Caenorhabditis elegans: one gene and its partner. The protein of the gene in region 1 purifies or fractionates together with the protein of each later gene. This does not show direct contact. Each region holds a gene or a part of one and is shown on either strand. Other genes may lie near its edges.

What was found.
Region 2: the proteins of pfut-1 (region 1) and mak-2 fractionate together in Caenorhabditis elegans (co-fractionation; one large-scale study listed by BioGRID). This does not show direct contact.

Annotation. Positions count from the first base shown.
Region 1 is NC_003284.9:3,163,769-3,168,241, reverse strand, and holds pfut-1 (GDP-fucose protein O-fucosyltransferase 1), read right to left. Parts: upstream 2,415-4,473; 5' UTR 2,390-2,414; coding exon 2,275-2,389; intron 2,060-2,274; coding exon 1,950-2,059; intron 1,893-1,949; coding exon 1,769-1,892; intron 1,727-1,768; coding exon 1,341-1,726; intron 1,295-1,340; coding exon 1,157-1,294; intron 1,113-1,156; coding exon 1,011-1,112; intron 950-1,010; exon of another isoform or gene 945-949; coding exon 750-944; 3' UTR 663-749; downstream 1-662. Other genes in the region: C15C7.6 (Glycoprotein), read left to right, coding at 1-95, 147-311, 360-626; syx-6 (Putative syntaxin 6), read right to left, coding at 2,872-2,945, 3,298-3,392, 3,446-3,552, 3,613-3,705; gcc-1 (GRIP domain-containing protein), read right to left, coding at 4,085-4,257, 4,311-4,429. UniProt on the Caenorhabditis elegans protein: Catalyzes the reaction that attaches fucose through an O-glycosidic linkage to a conserved serine or threonine residue found in the consensus sequence C2-X(4,5)-[S/T]-C3 of EGF domains, where C2 and C3 are the second and third conserved cysteines.
Region 2 is NC_003282.8:883,553-890,721, reverse strand, and holds mak-2 (MAP kinase-activated protein kinase mak-2), read right to left. Parts: upstream 5,377-7,169; 5' UTR 5,301-5,376; intron 4,227-5,300; 5' UTR 4,160-4,226; coding exon 4,109-4,159; intron 3,434-4,108; coding exon 3,054-3,433; intron 2,650-3,053; coding exon 2,461-2,649; intron 2,410-2,460; coding exon 2,285-2,409; intron 2,165-2,284; coding exon 1,878-2,164; intron 897-1,877; coding exon 828-896; 3' UTR 522-827; downstream 1-521.

The DNA of each region.
Region 1 (4,473 bases):
CCGAAAATTGTCCGGTCGAGGTTGTGATGGCTCCTACTAAAGTTTTTGTTAGAGAATATGTTGGTGATTATAGTGTTGTCGCAGCAGTCGCAGAAGTATGTGACTGGCTTTAAAAATATTGGAATTCAAAAAAAAAATCGTCTCAGGCTTATCAAACAATGATTCATGGACATTATTCAACTCATCAAATGGGCATCTCGCAGCACGTTTCTTTATTGCTCCCAATTGGTTCGTATGCAAAATTCAATAACGTCAAAGTTTTTGGAAAATCACTTAATGCGTTCGATCATTTTGCAGTTAACACAGAGGCGGTGAGTTGAAATTCTTATTAAAATTAACAACAAAACATGTTTATTTAGGACCACCTCCCAGTGAGCCATGAAGATCTCGATAAACTGGAAGCCAATTATGGAAACACTGAAGAGGTCCTCAGGCATCGTGCACTTCTCAAATCAGAGTTCTCACAGTTCCTCGACAGAAACTTGATGTTAATAATCATCCTTCTTACTATTGTTTTTCTTGTTACTGTGACCATTGCTGGAGTCAGCATTACATTGCGCAAAAAGAATTTCCAATCACTCCCAGTGGTTCTGTATTCTAACAATAAGGTCACTATTATTCAATAATTATATTTTAATTATGTTTTTATCGTTGTTAACTTACATGACTAGTTGTTTTATTAAGTAATAATAAAGTTACAATTGTTAGTGTATCACAAACTTTTGGAGATCTAAGTAGAAAATATTAGATCACAAATCGATATGTCTTTTGACCGCCCGGATTCCAAAAAATGCAGAAGGTCTTGGAGATTGTCCAGCATGATCTCGTTCTCGTTTTACAATATGTGAAAATGTGGAGACGCAATTTCCAACAAACAAGTCAGCCCTTCCCATGATGGCAAGTGATGTGTACATGTCATCAGGTTCTTGACGATGAGCTTCGATCTATAATGAACTCAAATTGCACTACGACTTAATAAAAAGTAAATAAAACAGTTTTAAAAAAATTACCTCATATGGCTTCAAAGCCTCGTTTATTTCATCTATCATATGATCTTTGTCGCTTGCTACGAACACCGACTTTGCTCCAATTGATCCCACTTTTTCAACGATCTGATATGAGAAAACATGAAACTACATATTTTGTATTAGCAAACCTGCTCTAAAATTTGTTGTTTGCTCGGTGAGCATATTTCTTTGGTAAGTGTGCCCAGATGATGCCCCTCGCCAAGACACTGTTCCGAGGCAAACAATGGCCGATTCGTAGTTGTATCAATGTGCTCACAAACTCGTACCTAAATGTAGATGTGAACAAATTAGATGTACATCGCAAAATCTTACCCAATCAGCGTCATTCCTTAAATGAACAGCGACAAAAGGTTTTGCCAAGTTGGCCGAAATGAATTTCTTGGCTTGTTCGGTAATTCGTGAGGACCATCTTAAATATTTCTGAATAGACCAGACTTTTCCTTTGGAAGGAAATGGAGCTGGAGCACTGGAAAATGCCAAAACGGGGTACTCTTCCGACGGAAACTTTTCTAGCCATTTCTTTCTGCTTCCCATTTGATTCAAATCGAATCCTCCAGGAATATCTCCGAAATACTCATCGCCAACAAATGAAACATCAATTTGATCCCAATAAGGTCCAAAGGGGTTACCCTCTTTCGAATGGCATCCTGGTTCTGCAGATTTATCGTAGATCGCTTGACGCGGAGTCCAACAAAATGCTAGAAAAACATTGTTGAATGATGGCAAAACAGAAACTGTACCTTTCCGCTTTTCTGGGGGCCACACTGTTGGCATGATCTTTTTTGTGAATTCTTGCATGGTGACTACTCGGGTGTACTTTGCGACTGTGCCCACTTGAAACAAGAATTCAAACGGAATCATCTTCTGAATTTTTTGAAAAACTATTATCACAAAATTATAACAAAGTTATTTTTTGCTCACCGTTTCAGGATGCTTGAATTCGATGAAATTGGGTAGTACTAGTGTTCTATCGAGAGCTTTTGCAAATGCAAGAACACCGAGAAATTGGTCAACTTGGTTGCCAAATCTACCTGAAATAATTCTGTAGATTTACAGGAGTATCATCAGTGGGGATTTAGTATATAACCAAATATCACAATACTATCCTAAAGAGTTTAGCTTTTTTTTTTAAATACTTTGGCAAATTACCGAATATTCCAAAAATGTACTTTTTTCTTTTTCTCGAGGAGTTTTCATATATTTTTCAATTCTACTTTTAACCACAAAAATGCATGCAAACACTCACCCATGCACGGACAAAACACAATATATCCATTCGGATCAGTTTCGTTGGATTTTGCTTCTGAATACGAGCAGACTGATATGAAACTAGCCAACGTTAATACTTTTGACACTCTCATTGTATTATAAATTTGGCACAACCATCTAAAAGTATAATTTTATTTGGAAAGTCAGAAAGAAAGATAAGAAATATTGTAAACGTGTTCAATGTATTTGCACAGCCGTGCCTTTAATCGATAATGACATTACTTTCCAAGATAGTTTGACAAGGCGAGGCACTTTTTTTGGCACAACAAGACACAATGTAATTTAAAATAATGTTGAAAATATTCATTTATATAAAAATATAAAATATTAGTTTTCACACCCGATACGGATACGAACATGGGAAAAAAGACTTTAAAAAAAGAGAAAAAAGAGAAAAAAAAGCCCAGAAGTAGTTCTGATCTACAGACTTGTCATTTGTCTAACAGTGGGGAAGGAATGTACTATGTACCTTTGGATTGAGACTGGGAGCAAAAATCGATAATAATAATAATGATAATAATAAAAATATGAAATGTGAGAGAAGAGAAGTCAACTATATATGGCACGTACGTCGTCAGACCAGAAGGACAAAGACGAGGAAAAACAGGAGAGCTGAGAGCACCATGATCATTTTGCATTGACTGGACTCTGCAATGAATAGGTTGTTGAATAGAAGAAAGTGACGGGGGGAATGTTTCCGGTGACTATGGAACCTGGGTCTCGTGAGCACTGCTTCAAAATGCAGGCTAACGGTGCCGTGCGCAACGTGTGAGGACTGCATGCATTGAATAACTCATTATGCTCATTTTCAATAGAATAGAAAGAAGTTGGTGAAAGTTTCAAAGTAGCTTCCTGCTGGAAACGCTGCATCTTGTGAAAGTATTGGATGTTTTCTGATTGAAAACGAGGAGGCGCTATGTGTTCGATGATACACTTTGCTTCCTAGCTTCCGGTGCTAACATAAACAAAATCGTTTACATTCTACGGGCCAGCAACATACCATCCTCCAGGTGCGTCAGCTTTGCCATTTTCTTCATAGCAGTGTCCAGTCGAGTTTCCGAGTACTCCATTTCTTGTCCTAAATCGTCTAGCATTCTGAAATCGCAAAATTTTAATATTTCTAAGTTGAAATAAGCTGGTCAACTTACGTAGATTGCTGATCCAATTCGTCGCCTATCATCGAACTCATTCCTCTCAACGTTCGCACCGAATTTCCGACGAGCTCCAGTTCATCGTCTTGTTCTTGAATTATTTGCTGAAATCATTTCTTCATTATCACATCATTTCTTCATTGAATTTTAGTACTAAAACTTACTTCTTGCCGAGTCAGAATTTGGTTAGCCGAGGATGGCATATCCTCCAATGAGATCTCTTCTTCGTTGAGTTTTGAGTATCGGTAGTTGCTCATTTTCACTATTAACTGAAGAAATTAATCCTTTTACTTAGAAAATCAGCTTCTGGTAGAAAAAAAGTATATTGAGAGGTGTGAAACCTCTAACGTCAAACGAAAGAAAATATTTGAAAAAAAACGTTTCTGATTAGACAAATTACAATTCCAATAACGAAGCGACAATGGAAAAAATGGTACAAAAAATTATAGTCACAGTAGAGGAAAATGTGATATGAACCAGAAAATGAATACACCAAGAAGACAGAAATTTAACCCGCGAGCTATACAGTTTCTTTTCTTGATAACGAATGGTATATCTACACACAATAGGCGAACAAAAAAAAACGAGGAAAAAAAAAAGTTTCGTCTTTCTCAATTTCGTGATAAGCATCGCTCCCTATTTTTTATCAATAATTTTCATCTCGGCCATGGGAACTTTAAGCACGCTGCCCATTGCTTTCAAGATGGCCTTGCTGGCGGCATTCGGCGATCCCATCGAATGCAGGAATTGGGTGAAAATATTGCGGAGGTAGTCGATTTCGCTTGTCGACGATAACATTTGAAGTTTTCCTGAAAAAAAACAGGAGGTATGATTATGATATAATAAAATCTCAAAGTCGTACCTTCTAACACTCGAACCTTCTCCGTCATTTCTTCATTGTGAGCAACTGATTCAAGTTGGCGGGACATTGATACAGACTCGTTTTCTCGGAGACGTATCTCAACATCCATAAGTTGCCGTCTGAAATCAGATTAATAAATGCAAAGTTTCAGATGTTTCAAATG
Region 2 (7,169 bases), on another chromosome or scaffold:
TTTTTCCATGCCTTACTCAAAAATAATAATGAAAAAGAGGTGATGTAAGAGGATCAGAAAAAGTGAGAAAATATTCGTCGTATGCCTTTTTTGCTCTAGCTTATCAGTGTTTTCTAGAACGACAAAAAATTTTGTAGCAGGCGTGATTTTATGACACAAACAACTGTTTTTCGAGAAGCACCTCTTAATGTCGTCAGTAATCTTCTTTTGGTGTTAGTGTCATTTTCTGAAACAGTTACTGCAGTGGTCTGTACACAATTATTTATTCATTCAAGACATATCAATTTCAGTATCGTGGTTGAACTCTGAGATGCATTAAACAATACTTTTCACGTAACTCGTTGATGATATGAACCATAGGGTCCCACCATGAAAACTACAGTAACCCCGGAGATTTCGCTACGAGACCCAATATTATTTAATTTCAAGCAAATTATTTCATTCTTATACTCATCTTCAAGCTCTAAGTGTGATATAGTAGAAAACGTTGTTAAAAATGCAAAAGAGTCTATTTTTTTTTTCAATTTTCAAAAATAAAATAAAATACATTTATTGCGACCGATCGAAAAAGGAAACCAGACAAATCTATGTAACAAATTACTAGAAAAAAGAAACATTTTTGGATGGAAGGAGCAACTGAGCATCAGACACCTGTGAGTACTCGAGAGAGGAAAGGGGCGGGGTTTACTGGGAGGACCGTCCACATAATGGTTATTTGTGCACTTTTGATTGATTAGAAAAACATGAAAGAGAGAATCACAATTTTTGGGGGAAAACATTTTTCGGTTTTTGGGAGTATTGGGAATTTTTGAGAATTTTATAAATTTCTAGGAAATCATTTTTTCCTCTTCATCGTCCTTTTCCTCCTCCTTGATATCGTCCATGGGATCGTCTTTCTGAAAATTGAGAAAAATTTAATTCTAATTTTTTTTTAAATAATATATTTCTAATTATCTCTCGCACACTCGAAAAAATTGTTTTGCCCTAATTTTTTGAAATACTTGTATCTTGGCGAGCTGATAAAAAATGGGAAATTATACGAATTTCATTTTGTCAGTGTACAACTTTTTGATATCTTTACAGTGCAGAGTTACGAGTGTTTTAAGCAAGGAAAAGCCTGATCTCTGGCCTCTCAAATTAAAACTCTCGTATCTCCTCGGGTAACTATGATATCAAAAAGTTGTCAACTAACAAACTGCAGCAAATTTTGCGTACATTATTTTGTCAGTTTACAACTTTTTAATATCTTTATTAGTTTTCGATATACTTTTAATTTTAGAAAACTCTATAAATTAATCGGCTTTTTGAAATAAAGAGGAACCTGTAGCAGAGTGTGTGAGGCTTAAATTTTTCAGATAGATTTCTTTTTTGTTCAGTTAAAATTTTGAAAAAAATTTGTAAAATTGAAAAAAAACGTGTTCTTTAATAAACTAATTTTCCAAAAAAATCATACATTTTTTCCGAATTTTTTTTTGACTTTTCATTTTTTTAAACGTTTTTTTTTCAACATACATTTCAAAAACTTTCCTGTTTTATTATAGTTACCTGCTTTCTTAAAAACGTACAAAATTTAACAATTTTTTCAAAAAAAAAATTGAGGCGTTTAATTGAACAAAATAGTAGTATAATTTCAAATTTGCACTGATAGATACACAAATTTTAGGGACTTACTAAATTTAAAAAAAAAAGAAAAATTTTCAACTTTTTTCAAAAAATATATTTGCATTTTTAGTGAATTTCAGGTGCTTCACTTCTTCTAAAAATTATTTTTCTAGAATAATGAAAAAAGTGTCAGAAAAAATTATTTAAATTTTTCATTAAATTTTTTTTGAATTTTTTGTTCTACAAAAACTTTTTTAAAATCCTAACTCCCTTACCGGACTAGCTCCACCTTTTCTCCTCTTCGCCAAAAGCTTATTATTCGAGTCTCCAAGGCTTTTAATCTGAATATTTTCAGGACCAACTCTCATTGAGGCCAATGTAGCCTCCATTTCATCCTGCATATCCGTCCATTGTTCCCGTTGATCGTTCAGATTTGAACTTGTGAATAATGGAGTATCTGGAACTCTACGGTAATGAGATATCCACTTGTGCTCCATTGTCTGCTCAATTGTGATACGTTCAGTGGGCTCAGTTCGGAGAAGCTTTCGGATTAGGTCTTTGGCTGCAAATAATTATATTTTATGAAAACAAAGTTTTAGCGGGTAATTTAGGCGGAAATTTAAACTTTCTGAGAAGAGAAATTTAGACGAAAAATTTGATTTTTTCCAAATTTAACTCTTACCTGCTTCAGAAACACAATCCCATTCGGGACTCGGAAATGTGTACTGTCCTGACTTGATTTTCGCCTTCATTCCAGGTGACATTGGTTGTCCGTGTTGAGAGTAAAATGGTGGGTAGCCGCACAGTCTGAAATTATATGATTTTTATGTATACAGAAAAACTCATTGTTTAACTCACAAAATATACATAATAACTCCGATCGACCATAAATCACAAGATTTATCATATTTTTCGGTGCCGAGCACTTCCGGAGCACAATAGTAAGGGGTGAAGCACGCCGTTTTTAGGCCTTGGGGTTCCGATTCATCTGTTTTTTTGGCGAATCCGAAATCTGTGAGTTTCAGAGCGGCGTTGGAAGCTGTGGTGCTGCAAAATTGATAATTTGTAGATTTTGGGCGTCGGCTGACAATGAGGCTTAGGCTTAGGCTTAGGCGTAGGACTAGGCTAGACTTAGGCTTAGGCTTAAGCTTAGGCTTAGGCATAGACTTAGTCATACGCTTAGTCTTACTATTAGGCTTAGACTTCGACTCAGACTCAGGCTTAGGCTTAGGCGTAGGCTTTGGCTTAGATTTGGGCTTAGGCCTACATAGGCTTACGCTTAGGCTGGGAACATTTTCGAATTACAAACCTTCAACTTTTTGGGGAAAAATCTGAAAAAAATTCTTTCAATCTTCCGAGTTTGAAGGATATTAAAAAGTTATAAACTTGTGAAGTATAGCAATTTAAATTTGTGCACGTTTTTCCTAGCCAAGTAGTTCTAAAAAACTCACACATAAAGTAAATTCTCCGGTTTCAGATCCCTATGCGCAATGCTCATTCGATGCAAATGAGCAACCGCCGAGCAAATTTCGTTAACAATTCCAGCAGCTTCTCTCTCGGTAAACGCCTTCTGACCTCGCTCCTGAATCCGATTGAACAGCTCTCCACCCTTCATATTTTCCATCACAACGAGCAGACAATCGACTCCGTTATATGAATTCTTGTACACATCGTGCACTGAAACCACGTGGCCGTGTCCTGAAGCCATCACGTGAAGTTCGACTTCTCGACGAGCTTTCTGTGTGTCTCGGAGCACTTTTAGCGCGAATTTGTCGCCCGACTGGCGGTGCTCACATTCCACAACTTTTCCGTTGATTCCTACGCCGAGAACCTGTAAAAAAAAGAACATTAGTTAGTTGGAGAGCTTTCATGTAGGCGTTAAAACGCCTACCTGCCTGACCTCAAAACGACCTCCGCCTAGCTCTCGCCTCAATACGCGCTTTATGCTAAAACATACCTTAACTTTTTTTTTCATTTCTTAATTTGATTTTCAACAAAATGAAGATTTGAAATGTAAACTGTAAACTTTACGACAAAGTGCAGAAAAGAAGCGAAAGGTAGGCGGGCAGGTTACAGGCAGGCCCTCATACCACGCCTGTCTATAATAAAAGCCCTAATATCTACACACTGTTAACTTACAAAATATGAAAAATGTAATTTTAATATGTTTTTGTTGAAAACTTTTTTCTAGCAAGTTGGCAAGTTGGAACAAATAGTTTTGATTTAAAAATTCTTGTAGCTCACCGAGTTTTGAAGCTATTTAAAAACTGTGAACTAATAAAATTTTGAAAATTTAATTTGGCACAACTTATTAGTTAAAATTTTTCGAAATCTTTTTTAGTTTCTGAGATAATTCAGTTTTTCTCTAAAGCAGTCTTAAAACTAGGAAGACCCTAGTCCTTTTTCGGAGGTTTTCAAGTCTTTTTCAAGAAAAAAATTAATGTATAAATATCCTCTAAATTTCTAATTCAAAAAAAAAACATCCAAAATCTCAATTTTCCCCTACCTTCCGACTAATTCGATAGTCCTGAGTAACAGGATACTCATGAAAAGCCATAATTTCGTCCGGCGGCTTTATCTTCTCCGCTGGACTACTTTTCGTTGACAGACAGCACCCAATTCTGCTGAAAAACGAGCCACGTGTTGATTTTTGTGCTTCGGGAGCTTCAAGCTTCACGCTGAAAGTGATTAGAGGGTGAGAGGATTAGACATATAGTAGGGAAACTGAAGCAGGACAACTTTCATGCGAATATTCGATTTTAGTATGATTGGTTTAGTTTGGTAGTGAAAAATTAGCTGAGGCGGCAAAAATTAGGCGATTTGCGGGCAAAACACTGGCGGTATCAAATCTTTGTTTAGTTTTTGAATTTGGAGTATTTCGATTTCCAAGTAACTAAATTTTCAGCAAATTCCCACTAAAACTGACAAAACTCCGTATCCCCCACACTGTATTGGGTCGCTATTCAGCCAATATGTGGAAATTGAGATACGGGTCTGAAAACTTCGGGATATAGATATTAATTTGTGTAGAATTTGAAGTTAATATTAAAATATTGGAAAAATGTTTTAGAAAACTGAAAAATTCAAGTGGAATCTTGGTTTTTGGTGGCACAGAGTTGGTTTTCTTTTTCTCCTTATTTTTCTCCATTTTTTAGTTTTTTAATATTTTTACTGTTATTCTCAAATTCAGCACGTTTTTGTCTATCTGACCCAAAATTTTCAGCCATTTCCCACAAAAACTGACAAAACTCCGTATCCCAAGTGTTTTAAGTCGCTACTCAGCCAATATTTGAAAATTGAGGTACGGAGCTGAAAGTTTCGGGATATACGTATTAAATTGTGTGGAATTTGAAGATTATATCGAAATTTTAAAAAAGTTACCGGAAACACCTCAAAAATTGCTAGAATGTGCCGAAATTTTGAGCTTTAGACAAACTCTGACTATTTTTGATAATTTTCACAAATTGGCAGAGCAGCGACCTAGCTACAGTGTGGACGATACGGAGTTTCGTCAGTTTTGATGGGAAATTTCCAAAATTTTTGGTATGCTCGTATTAAACAACATAAATTATAAATTTGGATGCTGAAAGTCTTAAAATTTGAAATTTTGAAAAACTATTTTTGCCAGATTTTTTGAAATTTTTTTTTTCAATTGACACGTATCAGGACAAAACACAATTTAGCAAAAAAAAACTTACTTAGCGTATAAAAATCCTCCGAAAAAAACCCGAAATATCAGTGAGCTGGGGCCAAGGAGATTCTTCGGCGAAAAATCTGGAAAAATTGAAGTAAATTTTGGAAATTTTAGGAGGAAATCGATAAAATAATTCAGACTGTGCGTTAAAAATAAATAAAGTGGGAGAAATGCAAAAAAAAAAATTTTTTTAGAGTTTTGTCTAATATTTTTTTAACAAATTGTTTTGCAGGAATTTTTTTAAAGCATTGCACAAAATAAATCAAATGTAACTATTCATGTTAAATACTTTTTTTTTTTGGAAAATTCCAGAATAAAAACTGGATTTTCGTTAATTTTCGATTAAAAAACCAATTTTCAGTTTAAAAAATCCAGGTTTTCCATGATTTTCACATGAAAATCTCAGGTTTCTCGCATAAAATCAAGAATCAATAGAAACAATGTCAAATCGTGAGATGAATACTTACGAAACGCCATCATAACCTGCTGTGGAGACGCAGAGAACCCTAATTTGCATTCGAGCGCGTTTGCATTGGCAGGGGAGCTGGGAGGTGGTGTATGGGGTTGCGGGACGCAACTTGCGGTGCGGTGATAACGGTGATAGGAGTTAATGCGGAAATTGAATGTAACTGACTTTAAAAAATATTGGAAAATTTTTGTCTTTTCTGGAAATTTTTTTGAAAAAAAAATCGTTTTGCCAAAAATAATGTTCCCATTAAAATTTCGTGATAATTTTGATTTTTTTACTAAAAATTCACATTTTCTAAGAAAAATGTTCAGCTATTTACCACTAATAGTAAAACCAACAAATCACCGTATCCCCATACTGCTTTAGGTCGCTACTCAGCGAATGTGTTAAAATTAGGATACGGAGCTGAAATTTTTGGGGTATTTAAGAAAAATAACTAGAATTTAATTTTAAACACGAATGTTGGAAATTTTGTGGAAAACGGCAGAAAATTTATAAAAAAATGTTTGTCAAAAAAAATCCAAATTTATTTTTTATTGGAAAAAAATTTGGAAATTTTGGTGTTTTCCAAATTTTGTAATTGGGTTATTTTTTAACATTTTACCCAATAATTTCAAAAATTTTATTTTTCAGCCAATCACCACTAAAACTGACAAAACTCCGTATCCCCAGTGTATTAGGTCGCTACTCAGAAAATATGTGAAAATTGGAATGCGTAGCTGAAAACTTTTAGATATATATATATAGTTATTTGTGTAGAATATGAAAGTGATGCTGAAATTTTAAAAAAAGAAAACTTTAAATTTGAAATAGAATCTTGATTTTTAGTGTCACAGAGTTGAATTACTTTACTTTTCTTCTGATTTCTTTCTCAAATTTTTGAGTTTTTGAATATTTTCATTATTATTTTCAAATTCAGCATGTTACAATCTATCTGACCCAAAAATTTCAGCCATTTCCCACTCGAACTGACAAAACTCCGTATCCCCACACTGCAGCTGGGTCGCTACTCAGCCAATACGTGGAAGTTGAGATACGAAGCTGAAAATGTAGGGATATATGTAATTTCTAGAGTAGACTTCAAATATAGAATTAAAAATTTACAAAAATCATCTTGGAAGCTCTACCTGAGCCGCTACTCAGCCAATTTTCCAATTTTCAACTGAAAATTCCTGGAGGATAAGGAAGAGCGAAAAAAAACAAAACAATTGAGAAAAACACGGAATTTGATAAGAAAATAGTGAGAAATTGATGGATTCCTTGTGGAAAACTGGTTTTTGTTGTTTGATTTGTTTCGAAAATGTGTGGGAACATTTTGCGATTTTTTGAAAAAAAAAACTGAATTTTGTTTTCTGTGTAAACAATTTTTTATGCCGAGTGTGACAATAAAATTGCGTTAAAAAC